Linked DNA regions of Stegostoma tigrinum. The main gene of each other region encodes a partner of the protein of the gene in region 2 in a complex. Links are inferred from orthologs where the notes say so. Each region holds a gene or a part of one and is shown on either strand. Other genes may lie near its edges.

Region 1 (3,747 bases), about 69 Mb from region 2:
ATTTGAGATAACAGTGAAATTTCAGCTGATTCTATCGATATAGTACTGAAGCTTGAATATTGTACATTGCACTGACTAGTGTTTTTACGTGAAATTTCTTTGTTAATGGTGAGGGAAAGAGTTAGAGAGAATTTGGAACCACAGGAATTTACCTATGAAGGTGTGTTTTCATGACCTAGCTTACTGCTAGAATAATTGAAAATCATCCCATTAGTTACACTTATCCTCAAAATCTCATCTCTTCTAATACTTTTCCCTTCCATTAAAAGATGCACTGGCTTCTGCTTTCACTGCTCTGTGTCAGAGCAGGGCAAGTTCCTGCAAGTTTATCCTAACTTGCCGAACTCATTTCAATTGATGTCCTCCTACAACTGACCCAGATTTTAAAACAGCTGTTGGCCAAATTGCCTCGCAACCCTTCATAATTTTAACCTCTTAGTCTTCTCTTGCTCAGTGGAAATGTTTCTGAACTCTCAAGCCTAAATTCTCAAAAAGATGAACACCAAATCATGAGGTCACAGAATGAAACAGAGCAGAAGAGACTGTTCAACCCATCGAGCCTGAACCAATACTGGCGGTTAGCCCACAGTCTTGAACGTTCTGACATGCCAAGTACTGAACCATGTACTTGTTATAGCATGGAGGCAATTTGTCTCTACCACCTTCCAAAGAGGCACATTCCAGACTGTCACCACCCTATGGATAAAAGATTTTTTCCACATATCTCTCAAACCTTCTGCCCTCACCACTGACCCTCCAACTAAGGGGAACAGTGGTTCCTTATCCACTATATCCATGCCCTTCATAATCCTGTACACGTCAATGAGATCGCCCTTTAGTCTTCTCTGCTCCAATGAAAACCCAAGCCTATCCAACCTTTCCTCATAATTCAAGCTTTCTGGCCCACAAGGCCAGTGCAAGATGCCAAAACAAAACTACACTTGTAATACAACAGATCAAGCCCTGGTGCTTCCATGGGAGCAAAAAGGCAGAGTATTCTGACAGCAAAGTTTCAGATGTAAAAGATGCCACTAGAAGCTGGATTTCCACTGGGCCCACAGTTTCAATTTTACTCCCATGAGGCAGAGTCTCACCTTGATTAAACAAGGCTGCAGACTGCCATTCCCAACACAGAAGAAGCCAAGGGACAACTTGCTGATAGGACCATGCATATGAATTGAATTCCATTAATTCCCCAGGATATAAAGAAACAAGACTGGACACCCTGGTGGAAGGCACTGTCCCTACTTCAGAGCCAGGAGGCCCAGCTTCAATCCTTCAGATGTGTGTCATAATGTATCTGAGCAGCTTGATTAAAATAAAGTACCACAATGGGACTCTTAGGAGGTACCTACCTCTAAGTCAAGGTGTGGGCCTAGGTTCTATGTGTGGAATGACATCTCTGAACAGATTGATTAGAAGATATCAACAGTACTAATAAAGTTTGATATTGACACTTTGTAGGAAGTTTCCAATCTGCCATTGGAGACTTGCACATGTAATTATTCCAACACCAAACAAGAAATTACAATGGAGCCATGAATCAACACCTAAGAACATATTTTGAGGCAGGCTTCAGATGTCTCAATAAACTTCAATCAGAAATCAACAGCAGCCTCCAGCCAACACTAATTGCATATATCAGTTCAAACTGACAATTAATCTGACCATTTTTGTGACACAACTGATACTTCATGGTACAATTTTCATTTCAATGCTATTTTCAATAATGATCATCTGTACTTTATTTCATGTAAATAGCTTCAGGACAAGGATTCAGATTTGGACAAGGCTAATAAAAAAAAATATCTATCTACAAAGAAATTAGAAAACTGAAAAGCAGTCAGCAATAATGCAGTCATACCTCATTTGAATACTTCATCCTACTCGTGACATAATGAAGATCTCTTTAAAACTTTAATTCCAAATACCTAGTCTGACAGAAGTATGAACTTCAAGCCAAACCTAGTTCAATTCCTAAATCAGCAAAGATAGAAAAGAAATTCCTTGATCACGAAGTGAATATTAAGGCCTTTCATCCCTTGGGATTTCACTTTAAGAATGATGCAATCAAAGTACCTTCCATCTGTGAACTTCAAGAATCCTCAGTTTAATCACAGTGGCTGTAATTATTTTCTAATCAACCTGTTCGTGGAATACCTCTGGAACAGATGGGACTTCAACCTGGATCTGCTGGGTCAGAAGTGGGGACATCACCACCCTGGAAGCTGCCACATTCCAGGTGGTAGCTTTAAAGTGGAGTGAAAAATGGCACGAGTGATAGAAAGAGGCCGCACAAAAAAAACACACAGAGAGAGAGAGAGAGAGAGAGAGAGAGGCCCGGATGGGCCCGCAGGTGAAGCCCGAGTTGAGGAGCCGACATGACCATAAAACATGCTGGCATTGGGCCGGAATCTAGATCCGCCTTAACCAGCGAATCAGTGGCGTGGGGGGTGGACTGCGGCTCCCGATATGAGGACAGCACTGGGACTCACTTACTTGAGCAGAATCTGTAGGCAGCGCTGCTGCGAACGAGGACGGTCAGCACCTCAGGCCCACACTCCGACTCGCGCTATTTCCGTTGTTCCCACAATTACTTTTCTACGCAGGCGCGACGCCGTTTTCCGTAACTGTTACGGCGCACGCTTTATTCTGCGCAGGCGCGGCAATGTTTATCCTCACGTTGCACCGCAGAATCTGAGATAACAAGGTGTACAGCTGGCTGAAGAAAACAGGCCAAGCAGCATCAGAGGTGCAGGAAAGCTAACGTTTCTGCAGCTCCTACTATCTCTGCACCGCAGAATCTCTCGTGCGCAGCGCAAGTACGTCCCTTCGCCAGAAACCCCGCTTCTGCGCAAGCGCGGAGCTGCGACCTGAAGCCGAGAGGAGGGCGGAGTGAAACGTCACTCCAAGTAACCTTGGAAGTCGCGATCGATATCGCGGAGCGGCCTTGATTTGTAGCATTCATTCATTAGACGCGACTCACACACATTGTGCTTTTGCACGATAGCTTTGTTAGGTTTTCGCTCTCTAGTATTGACGGAGGACTGGAAATGAAGGGGCAGCCGGGTGTAACGACGTGTCGCCGCCATCTTGGTAAAGGATCGTAGATAGTTAATAACAGCGAGATAAAACGGTGAGATATGGAATTGGCGAAGCAAACAGCAACACTAAGAGATACTTCATTTAAAAAAATTAAAATCCCCATCTAGAATATTTGGACGACGGTTAACCCGGTGGTGAGGGAGGTCACAGGTCACCTCCGCCCTGTCACGTGATGTTGCCAGCTGCTGATCCGTGGAAACCAACAATTTGCTCGAGTCGACCGAAGAAAGTTAGTAGAAAATTATAGGAGGAAGTAGCCCCACTAGGGCTTAGCCTTACAACCTGCTGAAGGTCACGGGACACTCCTTGTCGATTGCAAAGATTTTCATCTTTTCCACCAGCTATTGGATCTTCCCCCCCCCCCCCCCCCCCACCTCAAGAAATAGCCAAACATGTCAGGCAAGGAGAGGATTGAGATCTTCCCATCGCGAATGTGAGTGTCAGATTTTTGATTACGGTTTTTAGCCATCTCAAGTTTGACTTTTGCTTTAGTGCTCCGACCTGGAAATTTTAAAGTTTAGCATTTTAAATTTTGGCTCAGGTGAAGGGCTGTTGGAATGAAACTGCGTTTAAAAGTGCTGGCCCATTTCTTCCTGAATCATCGAACTATTTCCAAATAAAGGAACTTTTACAGTCGAAACT
Region 2 (3,747 bases):
GTCAGTGCCCGGGTATGGTCACCCGCCCCGTCACTCCCTGGGTCAGTCAGTGCCCGGGTACGGTCAACCACCCGTCACTCCCTGGGTCAGTCAGTGCCCGGGTATGGTCACCCACCCTGTCACTCCCTGGGTCAGTCAGTGCCCGGGTATGGTCAACCACCCGTCACTCCCTGGGTCAGTCAGTGCCTGGGTATGGTCACCCGCCCCGTCACTCCCTGGGTCAGTCAGTGCCCGGGTACGGTCACCCGCCCCGTCACTCCCTGGGTCAGTCAGTGCCCGGGTATGGTCACCCACCCGTCACTCCCTGGGTCAGTCAGTGCCCGGGTATGGTCACCCACCCTGTCACTCCCTGGGTCAGTCAGTGCCCGGGTATGGTCACCCACCCGTCACTCCCTGGGTCAGTCAGTGTGCCTCACTGCTCTCACCGACTGTATTCCTCTCGAATGATCTTCATTACTCGCCGAATGATGTTCCCCACACTGGTCTCCGAGGGATGAGCTGCAATCATCCTCCGTCCTTCAGTTCGGATCAATTTCAGTAACTCCCCTAAAAGGGGGTAAAATCAGAATATTAGAGACAGAAACAACCAGGCTGTTGGTATAAATACCCAGGAGAGACAAGGAGGGAATAAGTACTCAGACCTGGGGGTAAATACCTGGAATCTGAGGGGGCAGGGTGGCGGCTCTGGGAGACTAAATATCCAAGCCCAAGAGTAAATGTGTAGAGCCTGGAGAGGTGGTGGTGTGGGGGTAACTACCCCGACCCGGGGAGTGGGGGGGGGGTAACTACCCAGACCCGGGGAGTGGGGGGGGGGGGATACCCAGACCCGGGGAGTGGGGGGGGGGGATACCCAGACCCGGGGAGTGGGGGGGGGGGATACCCCGACCCGGGGAGGGGGGGATACCCAGACCCGGGGAGTGGGGGATACCCAGACCCGGGGAGGGGGGGATACCCCGACCCGGGGAGTGGGGGGGGGTAACTACCCCGACCCGGGGAGTGGGGGGGGGGGATACCCAGACCCGGGGAGGGGGGGAGGGGGGGATACCCCGACCCGGGGAGGGGGGGAGGGGGGGATACCCAGACCCGGGGAGGGGGGGAGGGGGGGATACCCAGACCCGGGGAGGGGGGGATACCCCGACCCGGGGAGTGGGGGGGGGGTAACTACCCCGACCCGGGGAGTGGGGGGGGGGGATACCCCGACCCGGGGAGTGGGGGAGGGGGGGGATACCCAGACCCGGGGAGGGGGGGGGATACCCAGACCCGGGGAGGGGGGGATACCCAGACCCGGGGAGGGGGGGATACCCAGACCCGGGGAGGGGGTAACTACCCAGACCCGGGGAGTGGGGGGGGGGGATACCCCGACCCGGGGAGTGGGGGGGGGGGGGATACCCAGACCCGGGGAGGGGGGGATACCCAGACCCGGGGAGGGGGGGGGATACCCAGACCCGGGGAGGGGGGGGGATACCCAGACCCGGGGAGGGGGTAACTACCCAGACCCGGGGAGTGGGGGGGGGGGATACCCCGACCCGGGGAGTGGGGGGGGGGGATACCCAGACCCGGGGAGGGGGGGATACCCAGACCCGGGGAGGGGGGGATACCCAGACCCGGGGAGTGGGGGGGATACCCAGACCCGGGGAGTGGGGGAGGGGGGGATACCCAGACCCGGGGAGTGGGGGGGGGGATACCCCGACCCGGGGAGTGGGGGAGGGGGGGATACCCCGACCCGGGGAGTGGGGGAGGGGGGGGATACCCAGACCCGGGGAGGGGGGGAGGGGGGGATACCCAGACCCGGGGAGTGGGGGGGGGGATACCCCGACCCGGGGAGTGGGGGAGGGGGGGATACCCCGACCCGGGGAGTGGGGGAGGGGGGGATACCCAGACCCGGGGAGGGGGGGATACCCAGACCCGGGGAGGGGGGGATACCCAGACCCGGGGAGTGGGGGATACCCAGACCCGGGGAGTGGGGGGGGGGGGGGATACCCAGACCCGGGGAGTGGGGGGGGGGGGGAGATACCCAGACCCGGGGAGGGAGGGGGGGGAGATACCCAGACCCGGGGAGGGGGGGTAACTACCCAGACCCGGGGAGTGGGGGGGGGTAACTACCCAGACCCGGGGAGTGGGGGGGGGGGGATACCCCGACCCGGGGAGTGGGGGGGGGGGGGGGGGATACCCAGACCCGGGGAGTGGGGGGGGGGGGGGGAGATACCCAGACCCGGGGAGGGAGGGGGGGGGAGATACCCAGACCCGGGGAGGGGGGGTAACTACCCAGACCCGGGGAGTGGGGGGGGGTAACTACCCAGACCCGGGGAGTGGGGGGGGGGGGGATACCCCGACCCGGGGAGTGGGGGGGGGGGGGGGATACCCAGACCCGGGGAGGGGGGGATACCCAGACCCGGGGAGGGGGGATACCCAGACCCGGGGAGGGGGGGATACCCAGACCCGGGGAGGGGGGATACCCAGACCCGGGGAGTGGGGGGGGGGATACCCAGACCCGGGGAGTGGGGGGGATACCCAGACCCGGGGAGTGGGGGAATATTCCCTCTTCTCCGCTACCTGCGTTGTTCCACCTGCTGTGGGCCACTATCTGCCGCAGGAGACCCGCGGTTCCAGCCGCAACCTCCCCGGAGCGGCGCAGCTCGCCCCGGGACAACTGGCCAAGAAAAGCGGCGACCCGCTCGGACACATCGGGCTGAGCGGCCGGCATGGCGGAACTAAAATACAGTTTGGGGGAAGGGAAAGACCGACGGATAGAGCGGAACCGGAAACCACCCATCGCCAGTCAGCGGCACAGGCCAGTCGCCATGTTGGTGAGGGAAGGCGATTCCAAAAAACAAACCCTCTCCCTTCCCCCCCGCCATTACCCATCCCCCATCTCACCCTCTCCCCATCCCCCATCTCCCCTCCCCCATCTCACCCTCTCCCTTCCCCCCCGCCATTACCCATCCCCCATCTCACCCTCTCCCCATCCCCATCTCCCCTCCCCCATCCCCCATCTCCCCTCACCCTCTCCCCATCTCCCATCCCCCATCTCACCCTCTCCCCATCCCCCATCTCACCCTCTCCCCATCCCCCATCTCACCCTCTCACCATCCCCCATCTCACCCTCTCACCATCCCCCATCTCACCCTCTCACCATCCCCCATCTCACCCTCTCTCCATCCCCCATCTCACCCTCTCCCCATCCCCCATCTCACCCTCTCACCATCCCCCATCTCACCCTCTCCCCATCCCCCATCTCACCCTCTCACCATCCCCCATCTCACCCTCTCACCATCCCCCATCTCACCCTCTCACCATCCCCCATCTCACCCTCTCTCCATCCCCCATCTCACCCTCTCACCATCCCCCATCTCACCCTCTCACCATCCCCCATCTCCCCTCCCCCATCTCACCCTCTCCCTCTCCCCTCCCCATTACCTGTCCCCCATAGAACATAGAAAAGTACAGCACAGTACAGGCCCTTCGGCCCACGATGTTGTGCCGTGGAATAATCCTAATCCAAAAATAAAATAACCTAACCTACATTCCCCTCAATTCACTGCTGTCCATGTGCATGTCCAGCAGTCGCTTAAATGTCACTAATGACTCTGCTTCCACGACTACCACTGGCAAAGTATTCCATGCGCTCACAACTCTCTGGGTGAAGAACCTCCCTCTGACGTCTCCTCTATACCTTCCTCCTAACACCTTAAAACTATGGCCCCTCGTGGCAGTCAATCCTGCCCTGGGGAAAAGTCTCTGGCCATC
Region 3 (3,747 bases), on a different chromosome or scaffold from region 2:
TGACCCCCTTTATAATTATTCCCCCAAGACTACTTTGATTAAATTTCTCCTGTGTCATCAGCTACCTGGTGTGAACAGCTAACATTACTAGTTGTCTCACAAGGCTTAAGTCCACTTCTCTGGGGTTCAGCTCAGTTCCTAAGAACAAGAGAGCTAAGAGCAGAAGGAAGCAATTCAGTCCCTCGAGCTTGCTCCAAAATTCAATACAATCATGGCAAATCTCATCTCGGCCGCAACTTCACTTTACTGGCAGTTCCCCATAACCCTTCAGCCCGTTACTAATTAAAAACCTGTCAATTTCTTCCTCAAATGTATTCAACATCCCAGCGTCCACTGCACTCTGGGGTAGCGAATTCCACAGGGTCACGACCCTTTGAGAGAAGTAATTTCTCATGTTTTAAATCTGCTGTCCCTTATCTTAAAACTATGACCTCTCATTCTAGACACCACGCAAAAGGAAAAATTCTCTTTGCGTCTACTTTGCTAATCCCCTTTAGCATTTATAATACACGCCACTGTAATCATGGTTGAGTGGTTAAGACAACGGATTAGGAAATCCAGAGATAATGGGAACTGCAGATGCTGGAGAATCCAAGATAATAAAGTGTGAAGCTGGATGAACACAGCAGGCCAAGCAGCATCTCACGAGCACAAAAGCTGATGAAGGGTCTAGGCCCAAAACGTCAGCTTTTGTACTCCTGAGATGCTGCTTGGCCTGCTGTGTTCATCCAGCTTCACACTTTATTATCTTGGATTAGGAAATCCATTGGGGTTTCCCCACACAGGATCATATCCTGCCGATTATACTTCCTCAAGTTGCAGATTTGGGATGGCATGGTGGCTCAATGGTCAGCATTGCTGTCTCAGTGCCAGGGACCCAGGTTCAACTCCACCCTTGGGCAACTGTCTGCGTGGAGTTCGCATTTTCTACCAGTGTCCGTGTGGGTTCTCTCCAGGTGCTCCAGATTTCTCCCACAGTCCAAAGATGTGCAGGCTAGGTGGACTGGCTGTGCTAAATTGCCCGTAGTGTTCAGCGATATGTCGATTAGGTGGCTTGTAGGGGAAATGAGTCTGGATGGGATGCTCCGAGAGTCGGCGTGGACTTGTTGGGCTGAAGGGCCTGTTTCCACACTCTAGGGATTCTATGATCTGTGAATTCAATTAGATCTTCTCCCGTTCTCCTAGTCTCAAGTGAGTATAGGCCTAAACTACACAGGTCTAGACTCATTAATGTCTTGTACAATTGCAGCAACAGCCCAGTATCATTGATTCCTTTACAACTGCAACAACACTTTCTTATTTTTATACTTTATTCCTTTAGAATAGAGAATTCCTTTGGAATTTCCAAAATTCCGTTTGCCTTTCTTATTACCTGCTGGACCAGCAATCTTGTTTGCTATAACTCATACACAAAGGACAACCAGGTCTCACTGCAGTAATGCATGCTTAAGTTTCTTTTCATTTATACAAGGTAATTTAGATCATAAGTTGCTGCTCTACTCTTAACAACCAAAATTGATAACTGAGCACTTATCCACATTAAACTCAATCTGCCAGTTTTTGGCCTATTCACCTAACCTATTCCATATATATTTGTACATTTAGTCATAGAGTCATATAGCATTGAAACAGGCTTTTTTCCCCTCACCATGTCAATGCCAAACAATAAGCACCAAACTACACTAATCACATTCGACTGCACGAAGTCTGTAGCCTGTTGTGCCATGGTATTTTAAACACTCAACCAGATGCCTCTTAAACGCTGCGAGTACCTGCCTCCACCACCCCCTCAAACAGCATGTCCCATGTATTTAACACTCTCTGGGTGGAAGAAACCTTTTCTCAGAGTTCTGAGAAAGGGTCACCAGACCTGAAGTGTTAACTCTGATTTTGTCTTCACAGATGCTGCCAGACCTGCAGTGATTTTCCAGCCAGTTTTGTTTCCACTCTTCACCTTTACTTTTCGATTGCTACTTACTTTCCCACCTAGATTAGTGTCATCAGCAAATTCAGCTATAGTACATCCTTTTGCTCTTTTTATTACATTTTTAGTAGCCTTTTATTGATCTTTAAGTTTCACAATCTTGCAGCCTGCCACTGGCCTTTGCAACAAGGTATAGTTTAGTCCTTTTTCTTGTCATTATGTAATCTTTAGCTTCCTTGCTTAGCCACGGATGTTTTCTCCCACCCGCCTTACAAGGGTTTTTACTTTCTGGAATATATTATAGTTGGGAGGATTCCATGCTCAAACGTGTCTTAACCAGGGATCGGCTCTTCTCCCCATTTGATTACAATGTCACCCAACCCCGAACCCGAACCCGAACCCATTCCCTTCCCCTTCAGTACTGCCTCAAAACTTCGCAGCTCCCTGTTTCCACTCATCCCAAACTTCCAAAACCCCCAGGTCCTACCGGCTCCATTCCCTTCCCCTCCCTCTAATTCCACCAACACAGCCCACAGACACACATGGCTCTCCCTCCTGTTTACCTCCTCGCTCCGCTCCCGGAATACGGCAAGGCCTCGGTCGGTGTCGAAAAGCAGCCGGAGAAAGGAACGAGGGGCGGTGAACCGAACTGGCGGGCCCAATGCGGGTCGTTAGACGGTGTACGAGTCTAAAAGAAACACTGTCATCTCACGTCCACCATGTCGTGTGTTCGGGTGAATTTGTGTCCGCAGGGAAACGGAATTACTGCGGCCCCAGAACAAGGTTCCGAGGGAGATCTCTCAGTGCGAACACTACACCTGCTCCCTCGCTCATTTCCACAACTCAACTGGTCTAAAAAAAATACATGAACAAGGCCACTTTTTCAAAATTATTGCATTCACATTATGTTCATTTCACTGAATCTCAAGATGGACTAATTACTTTGTTTTATAGGTGTTGATTGAAAGACAGAAAACGCTGGAAATATTGTAGCTAATTATGTTTGTTAAACGTTTTATGGCTGTGCATGCAGTGATAGGGTTGACACTAATGTTTTGCTATAAGCCCCCTCTCAGCAGTATTGGGTTTACATAGTCCACAGGGACACAGAGTGGCTCCCTTTTCTGTTTCAAACCCTACCAGCAAAGAATCTTTCCTGGCCTCTTTACAAATGGAAAACCAGTAATGATCAATCTTAGCCCTTTAAACTGTGGACACTTCTTAATTCCTGCAGCAGTACTACTGTTTCTTGTGCTTGCACTGCAATTTTCTTTCAGTATCTTAACACCCCAAAATTATATGGGGCCATATCGGTGAGACCACTGTCCTTTACTGTCGTTAAATGTGCATATCTGCCCCAACAACTTCAGACAAGATCAGATTCACAATTAAATGCAGAAATCCAAACACTAATGTCTGAATCATGGGCATAGGTGAGGTGAATAGTTTTCTTGTGTGGTGGAGTTCAAAACTAGGGGGCATATTTTTGAGGGGATTGGAGAAAGTTTTAAAAAGGACCAACTTTTTTACAATGTTTGGAATGAACTGCGGAAGAAATAATGGATGCAGGTTCAGTAACAACCTTTAAAAGAAGTTCGATAAGTACATGAGTAGGAAAGGTTTGGGGGGATCTGAGACAAATGCAGGCAACTGGGACTAATTTAGTTTGGGAACCTGGTCAGCGTGGACTAGTTGGACCAATGGGTCTGTTTCCATGCTGTATGAAATGTGCTGGTTTGCACAAACTGCTCTTCACTGTCTGGCTTGCCATTGGAATACATAAAGTTGCTGTATTTACACAGTAATTACGAATTAAGTTCACC

What was found.
Region 1: the proteins of eif2b2 (region 2) and eukaryotic translation initiation factor 2 subunit 1 are in contact, whole or in part, in a cryo-EM structure (PDB 6K71), measured with the Homo sapiens proteins. The link is inferred for Stegostoma tigrinum from reciprocal best matches to the Homo sapiens genes EIF2B2 and EIF2S1. Residues at the interface, in NP_055054.1 of Homo sapiens: Glu92, Arg95, Gln128, Ser131, Asn132, Glu135, Ala136, Glu139, Val142, Glu143, Glu145, Glu149, Asn150; in NP_004085.1 of Homo sapiens: Leu51, Ser52, Arg53, Arg54, Ile56, Asn60, Lys61, Leu62, Arg64, Arg67, Lys87, Ser91.
Region 3: eif2b2 (region 2) and eif2b3 share a complex: the UniProt entries of both Homo sapiens proteins name them as parts of the translation initiation factor 2B (eIF2B) complex. The link is inferred for Stegostoma tigrinum from reciprocal best matches to the Homo sapiens genes EIF2B2 and EIF2B3.

The regions. Positions count from the first base shown.
Region 1 is NC_081363.1:69,341,713-69,345,459, forward strand, and holds the start of eukaryotic translation initiation factor 2 subunit 1, read right to left. Parts: upstream 2,796-3,747; 5' UTR 2,500-2,795; intron 2,271-2,499; exon of another isoform or gene 2,080-2,270; intron 1-2,079. Other genes in the region: atp6v1d (V-type proton ATPase subunit D), read left to right, coding at 3,498-3,538. UniProt on the Homo sapiens protein: Member of the eIF2 complex that functions in the early steps of protein synthesis by forming a ternary complex with GTP and initiator tRNA. This complex binds to a 40S ribosomal subunit, followed by mRNA binding to form a 43S pre-initiation complex (43S PIC).
Region 2 is NC_081363.1:814,793-818,539, reverse strand, and holds the start of eif2b2 (translation initiation factor eIF-2B subunit beta), read right to left. Parts: upstream 2,734-3,747; 5' UTR 2,705-2,733; coding exon 2,554-2,704; intron 547-2,553; coding exon 426-546; intron 1-425. UniProt on the Homo sapiens protein: Acts as a component of the translation initiation factor 2B (eIF2B) complex, which catalyzes the exchange of GDP for GTP on eukaryotic initiation factor 2 (eIF2) gamma subunit.
Region 3 is NC_081361.1:72,955,804-72,959,550, forward strand, and holds the start of eif2b3 (translation initiation factor eIF-2B subunit gamma), read right to left. Parts: upstream 2,755-3,747; 5' UTR 2,488-2,754; intron 1-2,487. UniProt on the Homo sapiens protein: Acts as a component of the translation initiation factor 2B (eIF2B) complex, which catalyzes the exchange of GDP for GTP on the eukaryotic initiation factor 2 (eIF2) complex gamma subunit.